Linked DNA regions of Coturnix japonica. The protein of the gene in region 3 interacts with the protein of the main gene of each other region in a pairwise test. Links are inferred from orthologs where the notes say so. Each region holds a gene or a part of one and is shown on either strand. Other genes may lie near its edges. The genes, in order: TOM1L2, TOM1L1 and TOLLIP.

Region 1 (4,450 bases), on a different chromosome or scaffold from region 3:
CCATCAGCAATACCACCCAGACCGCTCAGCTGAAACTGCTGCTTCCAGGCATGACTAAAAGCCTAAGATGATCATTATTGTTTAATTGCCAGGTTGCCAATTAATGCTTATTTCATTTATCCCCCTATAAATGTGTGTGTGTTCTGATACTCACTTCTAAAACTAAGCTGTAGCTCCGTCACATCTTTAAAGTCATAACCTTCTGATGTGGCGAGCCTCCTTATGTCCTCCGGCCATTGCTCTTCAACTGCTTTCTGAAGCATTTCATCGTCAATAACGTTTGGCTCTAAGCTGTCGTCTGGCTGACTCATTTTTAGAGGATATCAGCTGTAATGGACAGAAAAAGCAACAACAATAAAGCCACTGTCTGGCTGCTATTTCCAACCTTCATTGAAGTGGCACGACACAGTCGTGCAGGGGATTAATCGCAGGGGATTAATCGCAGGGGATTAAGAACATGGTTAATATTAAGATCTAACACCTCAGAGCTGATATCAAAGATGAATTTGCTTTTATAATGGCTTGTATGGGAAGGGATAGTGAAGATCATTGAGCTGGGTTGTACAGCCATTGGTGTGACTGTAAGCACAGCCTGCACATTAGTTCTGTAATAAAAGGAAAAGGAACCTGGAGGAAGAAGGAACGTTTATAAATAGTAATAGTGATTTTCTGAAGGCCCTTAATGCTGACCCACCGTAATGCGGCCTAACCCAACCTATATGGACACAAATACCTCCACTGAGGGAAATGATTAATTCTCAGCTTTCTCTCCTGGCTTTGTCATTTATAAATCCACACTGATACCCCACAGCTCGGCCCCAGGCCCCGTTACCGGCCCCAGCCCCTTCTGCGCTCCAGCCCCGGCTCTGTGTGGTAGCTAAGGAAGCCCAAGCGCGTTGCTAATAGATGTCACGTGATGCGCTCGGCCGCCAATGGGCTGAGAGGGGAGGTGGGAAGTCTGGCTGCTAATCAGAGCCCGAGAAAACCGTGTCAGCCAATCAGAGCTCCAAGCGTGCCTTGTGGGCGGGAGGAGTTGTGTATGATTGACGTTCTGCTCGCCCATTCATATTGCAGAGTTTTCCGGCTGTTGCCCAATGGAGTGTGGCGTTAACGGAATCTCTCCTGTCCATCAACTGAGGGGCGTGGCAAAGGACGGAACTACCGAGGGGGCGGGTCCGTCGGTTGACAGTGATTGACACACTCTTCAACCTATAGTATCACGGAATTTACGAGCACCGTCCAATGGGTTGCAAGGAGGCGGGCCTTGCCCGGCAAAGCGAGCGGCGGTTGGTGCTCGTGGCTGCTAATCAGAGAGGGGTGGGGAGGAGGAGGGAGGGCCGCCGGGCCGCTGTTTGTTGTCATCCCAAGATGGAGTTTCTGCTGGGGAACCCGTTCAGCACCCCGGTGGGGCAGAGCCTCGGTAAGGCAGCAGTGTGGATTACAGTGTGGCTTACACAGGGCATTGAGGGCTAGAGAGGACAACGGAGGGGCTGGGGGCCTCCGGGGAGTGCGGTCCTTGGGGCTGTGGGGTTGCATAGAGAGGCACGGAGGGGGCAGTGGCGGCCTGTGGGGGGCTCTGAAGGCCGGGGGGGCACGGGATGGGGCTGTGGGATAGATGGGAGGGGTCTGTGATGGGGGGGATCTCTGGGGCTGTGGAAGGAGTGTGGAACTGGGGGCTGATGGAGCTGTGAGGGTTTGGAAGGGCTCGGGTGTGGGCCGCAGTGTGTCATGGAAGCTCCGAGGGGCTGTAGGGCTTCGTGGGGGCTCCGGGGGTCGTGAAGGGCTGTAGGCCCGCAGGGGGCCATGGAGATATGGGCCATGGCAGGGGGCACGTTCCCTGTGCTGCCTCAGCTGCCTTCATCCCCAAGGGCTGGAGCTCATCTGATGGGAGTGCGATGCAGGTTAGAGATGCACACACACCTTTCAGCCCAGCACTTGGATTATGGTTGGCCTCATGCTTTGGTGGCGCTGGGCAGGTTGTTGTGAATGTACCCCCCCTGCAGGGCCAGCCAAGTGCTTGCTGGGTTGCTGTGTGTGCCCCTTCTCTCCTACGTGTGTATTCGTGCTTAGCTGTGACAGCTCTGGCTCTGGTCTGGGTTGCTGGGGCCACAGGAGAAGGCCTGAGTTCCATTCTTTCAGGGCTATGGCACTTGCCTGGGGCTGTCATAGCTTCCCACTTGCTTCTCACATACCCTGAAGGAATACAAGCTCTCCCAGGTCGTGGTGGGAAAGAAGAGCAAACTGGCTTGGATTTCTGCAGCATAGGGACCATTGCATATGGTCCCAGGAGCCAAGACAATGCTCAGTTGTATGCACTTGTGTTGGCGTCCCTTGCGGTGAAACCATGCTCCCAGTTTCCATGATTTGTTTTGTAAACAGCAGTAATTCTGATGACTTACCTAATGGTTATATGTAGTATAACATGTACAGGCTATAGCTATTCAGCATTAACTTATGAAACACCAGGGGATTCATGTCTTTGGGAATTAAAGTGGAAATGTACTACTGAGTAGCTGCTCATGGCCTCAAAACCCAGAAGTTCCTTTCTAGCAGCTCCACACCCACATGTGCAGACAGCCCATGGCAGAGCTCAAGGCCTTTAAGTGGGTGAGTCTCACATGCTTTAAAGGTGGCTGGACTCTTGCTTTGTCAGACTGTGCAGACCATATATCGTGCTGTTTTTTCTTTAGCTACCAGAGGTGTTCATTTGTTCTGCTTAGGCAGAGAAGTGCTGAGAGTTTGAGGATTAAAGTGACGAAAGTGAAAGTTAGCCATGATTTTTAAAGTGAATTTGCATTGCTGTGCTTGGCCATCTGATAACATCTGCCAAGACAGCTGGCTGCTTGGACAAGCCTTCTGCATCAGGCATTGTTAACTGAAGGTTATAATTTCTGATCTATTTATTGTCAGATCCTTTTAGCCTCAGTAAGTGGTTTAAAGGGGCTTCCTTAGGACTTAATTACTGTTGAGAGGTTTTAATGGTAGAATATGCTTTTCCAGCCTCTTGCCTTTCTAAGTCTGGAGTGCCGAGGTTTGCATAGCTCTTATGTCCCCTTGCTCTCTTTGAATGAGCAGTCACAGCCAACATAAAGGTTTTTGGCACAGAGCTCAGAGGGATCCAGGTTAGGTCTGTGTGAGGGGCTCAGAGCACAGCTTCTGTACTGCAAAATCCAGTCACGCTTTAACAAGGTTTTTCCATCCCTTTTTTTCGGGGGGGGGAGGAGGAAGACAGAGCTGCAGGTTTTATTTTGGAAGATTATTTCTTTCTGCTTCTCATATCAGTGCCAGTTTCCTGAGACAACAGCAAGACAAAAGCACGCCTTGTTCACAGACGGTGCTATTTGCACAGTGTTTCCACTGCTTTCTTTTTTTTCAATGAGCTCGTAGGATATAATTCTCACTTACGTTGCTTTGTACTTTCAAAGAAGGTAATTAACTAATTTAGTATTGCTGTTTAAACATACCGTGTAAAATACTGTTATGATGTTTTCAAACAGGACCTAGCACTTAACATAGTATCCATTATAAGGAAGAAGCACAGAGGGTCCTGTGAGTCCATCAGTGCACCAGGAAGTAGCAGAGGATCTCATGAAGATTTACTTAGGGCTAAGCAACATTGTTGCATAAATGCTAGGTCTAGAAGAGCAAATATATCAGAGAAGGTTTGTGGAGTGCTGAGGGAGGGAATACATGGGATTTTCCCTTTTCCTCTTTATCTGGATGATGTCTGAAGCCAGGCAGCCTTTTTATGTTAACTCTTTTGCTTAATGTGAGAAAGTAATGCTAGGATGAGCTCAGAGGATTTGTAATGGAGATGGATTGAGTCTCTTGCATCTAAAGTGCCAGTGTAGATGGGAGCCAGGTTCCATGTCTCTGAAAGCCACCTGATTTCTGCTGGCTGATAAACCTGGTTGGCTGATAAAACCGCCTGTGAGAAACACCACCACTGCTACCAAGGACAAACCTCACTTAATTTTCCTCTAATGCTTTCTTTGACCTGTGGAGGCTGAGCTGTCCCTTTGCCTCTAGCAAGGTCCCTGCCAAGCTGTTTTGGGAGGCCTGTTGGTTGAAGCAGGCACGTGTTGTGGCATTCCTGATCTTAAACACCGTTCTGCTCTTGCCATGTTGCTTTTTACCTATTGAAGGAAGGGGAGCTAATAGCAATATTTATGCATAAGCTAAAAACATTATCTGAGGTTACATAGCACCTTCTCAAAGGCTTTGTGAGTGGATGAAGCTTTTCCACATCCCACCAGATGCAATAGTCTGCAGGGTCACCTTGTAGCATTGCTTTATTCTGAGGTCAGCACGTCCTGATGGAGCTCCCTGTGAAGGTCCCTGCCAGTGAGGAGGAAGAATGGAGACAGATGTGTAGTTAAATCCCGAAGACAAAATGCTTGATATCTGGAGAGAGGCTGCCTTGCAGGGAAAGCCACAAATCACGATAGCA
Region 2 (4,438 bases), on a different chromosome or scaffold from region 3:
AAGCTATAAAGAAAATATCTCCATGAAATTTACAGGAGAGACCCATTTCAGACCATATGTTGGAAGGATCCTCATCCAAATGCATGAGTCAGTGTGTTAGCTAAGTGTTGCATGCAGAGTTCCAGAGTTTGGGGCTGTCTGACGTTTGCGTTTCCACAAAGCTTTCATGCTGGCCTGCTTTCATCCTCCAAAACATGACACATCTACTTGACTCCCTGCATCACAAATTCTTCTCAACTCTGCACCGTGAATCTGAGCAGAAGTAAATAACTCACTGGAATTGCTCATGGTTTAAATGCTTCATCACTTGTATAATTTTTAAGTTTGTGAGTCTTAATTGCTCTGTTTTGCAATCAACCAAACCCGGATCACAATCACGAACTCAGATAACAAGCATCCTTGGCTAACATGGTAATCTGGTCATCCAGACCCCTGTCTTTTTCATTTCACTGATCTCTATTGACTCGGCACTCAACTCTTGTTTTTATTTATGTTTATGGTGATTTGTACACCTTATAAAATTATCATTTCGAACCTGCCTGTAGGCAACAGCTGTGGGACTGGATAATTACCACTGAAAGATGGCAACGTTACAAAAAGATACTCTCATACAAAAAAAAATTCATCTGGCAAAATCACTCATTTATTTATTTAATAGATGAAATTAGTGAAAGAACAGAACACAGACAATAATGAGGGTGTTACAGAACTCTGCCAAGTGCTACCCCAGCTCGGCATCCCCTCCTTTGGACAGAAGCTGCCAAATACAGCTGGCTTAAAACGACCAATCTCTTCTGCACAAACAAAAGTAACAACAAAAAAAATCAACTTTCCAAAGCTTTAAAAGCTGTTTCTCTTCCATATTGGTTACTGGAACCTTTCAAAAGGTCATTAAGGATTTCATTTGAGGAATTTTTCTCTAAGCATATCAGAAGATTGAACATGGACCTCAAAGAGCCAACATGAAACTGGGATTCAGATCCTGAAGGGTGAGCTCAGTGGGGTTATATGGGTGTGAAGCAGCCACTGCCCTGTCCCACAGCCACATCCCTCCTGCAACTAAAATGGTCACATCCTCACCCCAGCCAACACACCTGAGTGCTGTTCAGCTGAGTCATAATGCTCACATTGCCTCAGAAGGCTGATGAACAAAGGAATCATCTCGCCAAATGCAAACTGAAGGCACCAAGGCTTGTGCCTACTATAAATGCAACAATCATCTTAAAGTGAGAACTCTGGAAACACTGAGAACAGCCTCAAAGCTCTGCTGTCAGGTCTGCAGGGCTGGAGGCGTGTCCCACTGCCCCAGCAGGGATTTAACCTCATTTCCCTTTTTCTCCCTTTTCCAGCATCCTATAGGATGTTTCAGGAATGTCCCTTCTCATCTGCCCTGTGTTCTTTGAGGCGAGCTGATCTATTCATGCAAAATAGCAAGCTTTAAATAATTAATGGCACAAAAAACATTGTGTGAACATGTTCTGTAACTCAGGTGAAACAAAATCTTCCCAAAGACTTTGCAGATGAGTTGGCCTTGATAGCTAAACAATAGGAGCTTTTCAGAATTATTTTATCTGTTGCAAATCTTCACAGCCTCAATGTTAAGGACAGACTGAAATGACGGTTAGGTAACCTGGCCAACTCGCTGAAGGGGGAAAATAAAAGAATCAGAATTAAGTTTTCTTCCTGCCTGTGGCTCCAAGCCCTGCAAATCTGCTCTTTCCATGTTCAAGCTTCCACAGACTGCACTCCAACCATCACTTACCTAACAGCCATGCACTGAGCTGGAAGGGAGGGAGGTAACTCCCAGCACCTGAATTAAAACGCAAGTATTCGTCTGTCTAAAAACGTATCTGAAGTGAACCTACATTCTGAAGAGTAAATTCCCCACTACAGTGACAGAGGGCTGGTATTTCTAGTTTTCTCACCTGTCTACCTGGTGGCAATTTGCTTTCTTTTCTAATGAAAGTCACTGTTTCAGCCTCTAAGGAACCCCTATTCCTTTCCACCTTGTTCTGTATGGTTCCTGCTGCTGTGTTTTTTTTTAACACATAGTTAAATTCCAGTTAACAACTGGAAAAATTAAAGTCCAGCCCATGAATCCTTGAGGGATGCTTTAATTCTGCTTTTGCCACAGAATTCTGTTTCCTTGACATACCACTTTGAGCCTCAGTGTCTGTTTTACTAGTAAGGATGAGAGCTGTTAGAGATTACAATGCTAAATACAATGGGAAAATGATACCTAGAAGTTACACCTGGACATGGGGCACTGAGAAGAACTTTTGCCAAGAGGTGAGGTGCATTTTATGCTGTGAACAGCTCTTCTCAAGCGTGGAGTGCAAATTTCACTAAAAATCTCCAAATAACATCAAAAACCGCAAAGTTGGAAGAGACCCTGAGGTTGCAATCTGGAGCTGAACAGCCATCTCGACTACGAGAGATTTTGCCAAGAACAACGTTCTGAGCTCCAAGAGACCAGAACTAGTGCATGAACCTGAAAACATAATTGCTCTTTTCTGTTTGCAGTAAGAAAAGCTGTTATTCAAGAGGATATTGAGCCTCACCACATCTCTGTTGAGCATGAAAATTCTCATCATAATAACGATTCCACTTTCAGCCGTTGTTGTAACCATGTGCCTCAAACCTGAAGTCCCTGCTATCGACCACTACCCAAGGAAGGGCTCCAGGGCTCTCGAATACAAAAGCACCCAGACATATTTTCAGTTTCCATCCAAGTTTCTGCACCTTCTATTGCAGGGTGAATGTGACCCTCCTGGTGCACAGCAACATCAGTAACTCTGCATTTGTTGAAACACAGTAGAAACAGAATGTGTGGGAAAAAATAATAATATTTGAAGCACTGAAATAAAAACTGCGCTTGGCTGTTGCACTGCCTGTGCAAGAAGCAAACCTCATACAGAGTATAGCACACACCCCAACTCAGACCCACAACTTCTTGACTTGCTGAAAGAAGAATTTATATCAAAATATTAAGGGATGACCAGTATTTGTCTTCCATTTTCTCCCACTTGCAACCTAATGATACAGTCAGAAACATCCACATACCTGCTCTTTTCCTTTTGGTGCTGAGCAGAGATGAACCTTAGCAGGGAGCAGCTGTAGGACTCTCCTCTTGTTGCACAGTCCACAAGAATCACAGTGTATTGATGTGCATTCATGGTAAGGAAGGGTGCTGCAGGTTTCATGTGTATATTACACAGGGCTCTAAACTTTAAAGACAAAAGAAAGGGAGGGAACAGATTAGCTATTTAGGCTTCTAAACCTCATATCACCTTTCAGAACTATGTCCAAATTGGTTAATTAGCAACCTATGCACATCACATGGCCTACACATCTTGGTCATACATTTCCTAAATGCTACCAATCGAGTGGGACATTGCTTACTGCAGCTTCCACTTTCTGAAAAAATGAACTATAGTTCCATTGATTCTACTCCCATAAAAATAACAAAAACAACAAAAAAACCCCACAAAAATAAACTAAAAACACTGCCCAGCCCCCAAACTGAACTCTTTTTCCAGCACCAGGCAATTACTTTCACTGCTTACAGAGATCAGTTCTTGCACTCATGACATCCATGATGCCTGAATTTGACCTGTGCCAGCTGGGTCTGTACAGAGGGCCTGGTATTCTCTGATTTTCTCTAACTCACGGTGCATGATGGCAACTCCCCCCAGTCAAGATAAAATCTTGTGCCTGGAGGGTGCTGTCAGATCAGTCATTATCTAAGCATGTCGAGAAATCACAGTACATCATGTCAGAGGATGTGCACTATCCAAGATGAGTGGATGAGCGTGCATTGAGAAATGTTTGCTTTTAAAACTAACACTGCAGGATTTGCCACATTTCAGGAATATTTTCTTTTAGAAGAAGTATCACTTATCTCATCTTATCTTCTATCTTAATCTTATATCTGTATCTTTAGAAAGATATTGCTTCAGTAGGCAATGCAGAGAGAGAAAAAAAGAGCAGGAATAGCAAAGAAAATAATAAACTTGAATAGAACACTGCCCCTTGAAAAGAGAACATGTGAGGTTTATGTAACCTGAATACTGAATGGAGCCCAGCAGGTGAAAGAAAATATAGGAAGAAAAGGGGAAAATCCAGAGAAAGATATTTTGGGCACTTAGTTTTCCATTGTCAGACTTGTGACATGGCTGTGCTTTATTCCAAGCAAAATTTCCTATCTATGAAGTTATTAGAGTGACAGAAAGTGCTGTGAAAAGTAGAGTAAACTCAGTTCCCTCCCACTCTCATATCCTCAGTGCTTTGCAGCTGAGCAAGATCAATGCCTTGCTCTCCGCTGAGACAGAAAACAAAGGAAAGTTCCTTGGATCCTCAGCAGAGCCAAGGACCCCAGCCAGCAAGGCTGTGCAAACTGCCCCTCTGTGTCTACCTATGCAACCTCTCTGCCATGCTG
Region 3 (3,942 bases):
AAGTGGAAAGGTATATCTAATCCAAGAACAGAAAAACACAGAAGCTAACTACAATGGAATGAAACTTCAGAATACACACAGTAATTTAGAATAGTTAGATAGTGAAGCAAGCAAGACTTAAATCCTGAGAAGCTCTAGAGATAAAAGCACTTTGAATGAAGCATTCTATACATTCTCATCAGGGAGTTCAGTAAGTAACCAAACTTCTATGTTTTACAGGAGGCACACTTTTTTAAGTTAAATATCCAGATTTATATTGTGGAAATTTGCTTTTTCAGAGAATGAAATTTAAATTAAATCAGGAATTGAGTCTAAAAGAAAAATATATTGTGCCAGTCCTCAATACTGCAACTGCGTCCCATATACTCTATCACTCACCCATACAAATACATGTGAAGAAACTCAAAATATATCAGTAAGACTATCGTGCTGAATTCTTGTTTAATGTAGAGCTTTTAAGAGCTGAAACTAATACAGGATAAAACAAAAAAAACCCCAAACTTTACTTACCAGTCCTTTAAGAAAAGCAAACATGTGGTTATTTATATACTTGAAGTTTCTCACTTTTGACAGTAAAACTACAGAACCTAACTTAACACATCTATCTATAGAAGTCAAAAATTTACTTCACACAGACCAGAACAACTGACAACTGCTTTCTTTTAGCTTTCTTGATATACTTCCGTTAATCTATCTCAGAGCTCCCTAATATTATTCATTCACAGAGTTAAGTGGTTTGTGTGTTGCGTTTTCAACAGAGCACCTTTAAGGTCCACAGGAAAGATAATCCCTTTATAGTCAATTTTAGCTGCAGCTCTGACTACACGATGCATGTGATGTGCTTTCTGAAGTCTGAGCACTTTCTCACCTGGGTTGCCACCATCTTCCCAGCACACAATATCTGACAGACTATGTTTCAGTATATTTAGTTATTTAATGACTTACATAAGGCTTGATTTCATATTCATTAAAAGTAGACTTAATGCTACTCGTTGTGACTTTACAGTCATTTGAATCCAAACTTTTGAATATCTATCAAACTCAGAAGTCAAAAAGGCTCACACTTAATTCATGTCCTCCCCTCTGGCATCATGGAAAATACAGTCAAGGATGAAATCACCTACAAATCCCCTTCACTTTCCAAAAAGGAAGAGAAACTTGTTAGACAGCTCTGCAAAACCCCTTTACTTGGAAGCTTTAGTCTTCAATTAAAGACAACATACCTGCTATAGGCACATATCCCACTCCTTGCTGGTATACAGTGGGCATCAGAACCACTGGCTGGGGCTGCATCATCATGGCAGCTGGCAAAGACTAGACAAAATGCACAACAGAGATTAATTGGCATTTTTGGAATTGTTTTAAAACGTTTGAAAGAAGTCACCACACTGTAATACAGAAAATCTGCACTGCATGCACAATAAGACCTATCCGATTTGTATTAAGCAGAATTTTTGGCAAGTAAACCGAAATGCTACTCTTTAAAATGACAATTTAAGTGTAAATCAGAATAAGCACACACCAGTTATCCTTTCCCACCAGCTTGATGCAACTGGCCACTGATATTCTGTTACAGAAACAAATTGCTCTAAAACATGGCTAAATTTCCACACTTTATTTTGGGAAAACGAATACATGGCGTATTTATTTATCTGAAGTAAAAATGTAAAGCAAAGCTGAATTTTATTAAGAGTAGACATTAGTTCAAATCATTTTTTAGGTAAATTAGTACTTTTTAAAATGTCCAAGCCCATTCCTTTATAGTACCACAATTTCTGTTCTCTTTCATCATGTAAGACATTAGAAGGTCAGATTCTGTGCGCAGCACATCCATTGGTGCACATTTTAAAAGTTAATAAAAATTTTTACCCTAGGGGTAAAGGAACAATTAATTGTTCAGTTGTGGGGCCAAATAGGAAATTCAAGTAGCAGAAGCAGCTGGTCACAGTTGTGCACCCAGCAACAACCCAGAACTTCTGATCACACGCAAGCGTAGTAGGAAGCACTGAGGAGCTATCATGCCATCCCACAGGTACTTATGACAAAGATAACAGACTAGAGAATATCCAGAAGCTATTAAATAGGCCAAAGTCAGCAGTTCAATACAAGCACTAAATAAAAATGGAAATCAGAATTCAAGTCACCAGAAAGTGCACTCAAACTTCCCAAAAAGACCACAGAGAAGAGCTGTGACTACCTTTACTTATAAAAATGACCTAAATTCAAAGTAGAAACTTTGTTGTTTGTTGTTGTTTTAATCAAATTAGAAATTAAAACAAATTATTTGACTGAGGAGTAGCCAAATAAATATTCAATTGCTACCTCACCAAGAAGGATTTACTACCATAATATTTTTGGCTGCTATGTGCAAAATAAAGTACAAATATTTTAAACGCTAACACACACAGAAGAGCGAGATACAACGGAAATACTCCTAGTTTAACCTAGAATATCTCCTCTTGTTATCTCTCCCATTCTCACTTTAAACTTGACTTACCGTGTATGACATCACCAGGTTAATCATTCCTTCCTTGTCATCACCCTGCCTTCCACTCAGGCTATACCATTCATCCTCCACATTTCCTTGTTTTAGAGATTCAGGAATTGTAATGTGTGTCCAAGCAATGCGATCATCCATTGAAAAGGCTCGCTAGACGAAAAACAGAAGAAGAAACATCTCAGTTTTACCTTACTGCTATCTACATGCACACACGAAGCGTAACAGAGTTCAGACTGCTAGGAAATCACCTCTCAGCCTTCTTTTATCTGGGCTGAACAAATCAAGTGACCTCAGTCACTCCTCCTAAGTCCTGCCCTCTAGACTCTTTACTATCTCTGTTGCTCTCATTTGCGTGCTCTCTAATACACCAGTTTTACACCCTCCCAATGCTGCGGCACCAAGCGCTGTATACAGTGCTGCAGGTGAGACCACATAGCTCAAAGCAGCCCAGCCCTTCCCTTACCCAGCTGGTAGTGCCGAGTCTGGTGCACCCAAGGCACAGAAGCCCCTTTTGGCTGGCAGGGCACACTGCTGACTTGCATTCAACTTGCTGTCAACCAGAACCCCCCAGATCCTTCTCCTGTGGGCCTGCTCCCAAGTTTCTCATCCCCTCATTTGTACACGTACCCAGGGTTACCCCATCCCAAGTTGGGAATCTGGCACTGCTCTTCTTACTTCTTTACATGGATGGAGATTGTCCAGTCCTCTAATCTGTCAACATCTCTGCAAGGGCTCTCTGCCCTTGAGGAATGCAAGAGCTCCCCCTAATTTCATATCATTCACAAGCTTTCTTAGTATGCATTTGACTCCTGTGTCAAGATCACTTATAAAAACATTAAAGAGAACTGCCCCAAAAATAGAGTCCTGTGGAACCCCACTAGTCTATATCTGTAGATAGCAGTCATGCTATTAAGAAACAGTTTCTGTCTACATTTAAAATAATTCCAGTAATTTCAGTAGAAATAAGCACTGATGCGCCTCCTCTGTTGCAGTAATGAAACTTCAACCAATTATCACAAAACAGCATCCAAAAGCCTCATTTGTGTAACAAGTGCATGGCTGTTGCAGTGTCAAGTTAAACTCGCACAGTAAGAGGGGAAGCAAAGAAGGGCAAGTCATAGACATTTGCCTCAGTTGTAGCCTCTAACATTACCTGAGAACACAAGTTTGTTCTAAGTCAAAGTCAACATCCCCAAATGGAACAGTTAACACATAGGCACATACTCCCTGCTGCCAATAACAACATCTAGTAGAATAACACATTAGAGTTTATGACAGTACTACTCTCATAAGCAACGTTTGCAGAGCAGATTATTCAGCTGAGCTGTTAATCAGATGTACTTAATCTCCGAGAAACTGAAATCTGTAACTTGTAAACAGTTTATCACCACTGTATGTTAAGGAAAACATACATAAGTGGACATGGAGGGACTTGCCATTAA

The links.
Region 1: the proteins of TOLLIP (region 3) and TOM1L2 interact in binary tests that used the Homo sapiens proteins (3 or more experiments, as listed by UniProt). The link is inferred for Coturnix japonica from reciprocal best matches to the Homo sapiens genes TOLLIP and TOM1L2.
Region 2: the proteins of TOLLIP (region 3) and TOM1L1 interact in binary tests that used the Homo sapiens proteins (3 or more experiments, as listed by UniProt). The link is inferred for Coturnix japonica from reciprocal best matches to the Homo sapiens genes TOLLIP and TOM1L1.

What each region holds. Positions count from the first base shown.
Region 1 is NC_029529.1:4,990,318-4,994,767, reverse strand, and holds the start of TOM1L2 (TOM1-like protein 2), read left to right. Parts: upstream 1-1,295; 5' UTR 1,296-1,368; coding exon 1,369-1,420; intron 1,421-4,450. Other genes in the region: DRC3 (dynein regulatory complex subunit 3), read right to left, coding at 155-311. UniProt on the Homo sapiens protein: Acts as a MYO6/Myosin VI adapter protein that targets myosin VI to endocytic structures. May also play a role in recruiting clathrin to endosomes. May regulate growth factor-induced mitogenic signaling.
Region 2 is NC_029533.1:8,286,622-8,291,059, forward strand, and holds the start of TOM1L1 (TOM1-like protein 1), read right to left. Parts: upstream 3,214-4,438; 5' UTR 3,064-3,213; intron 1-3,063. UniProt on the Homo sapiens protein: Probable adapter protein involved in signaling pathways. Interacts with the SH2 and SH3 domains of various signaling proteins when it is phosphorylated. May promote FYN activation, possibly by disrupting intramolecular SH3-dependent interactions.
Region 3 is NC_029520.1:9,911,759-9,915,700, forward strand, and holds part of TOLLIP (toll-interacting protein), read right to left. Parts: intron 2,651-3,942; coding exon 2,498-2,650; intron 1,315-2,497; coding exon 1,224-1,314; intron 1-1,223. UniProt on the Homo sapiens protein: Component of the signaling pathway of IL-1 and Toll-like receptors. Inhibits cell activation by microbial products. Recruits IRAK1 to the IL-1 receptor complex. Inhibits IRAK1 phosphorylation and kinase activity.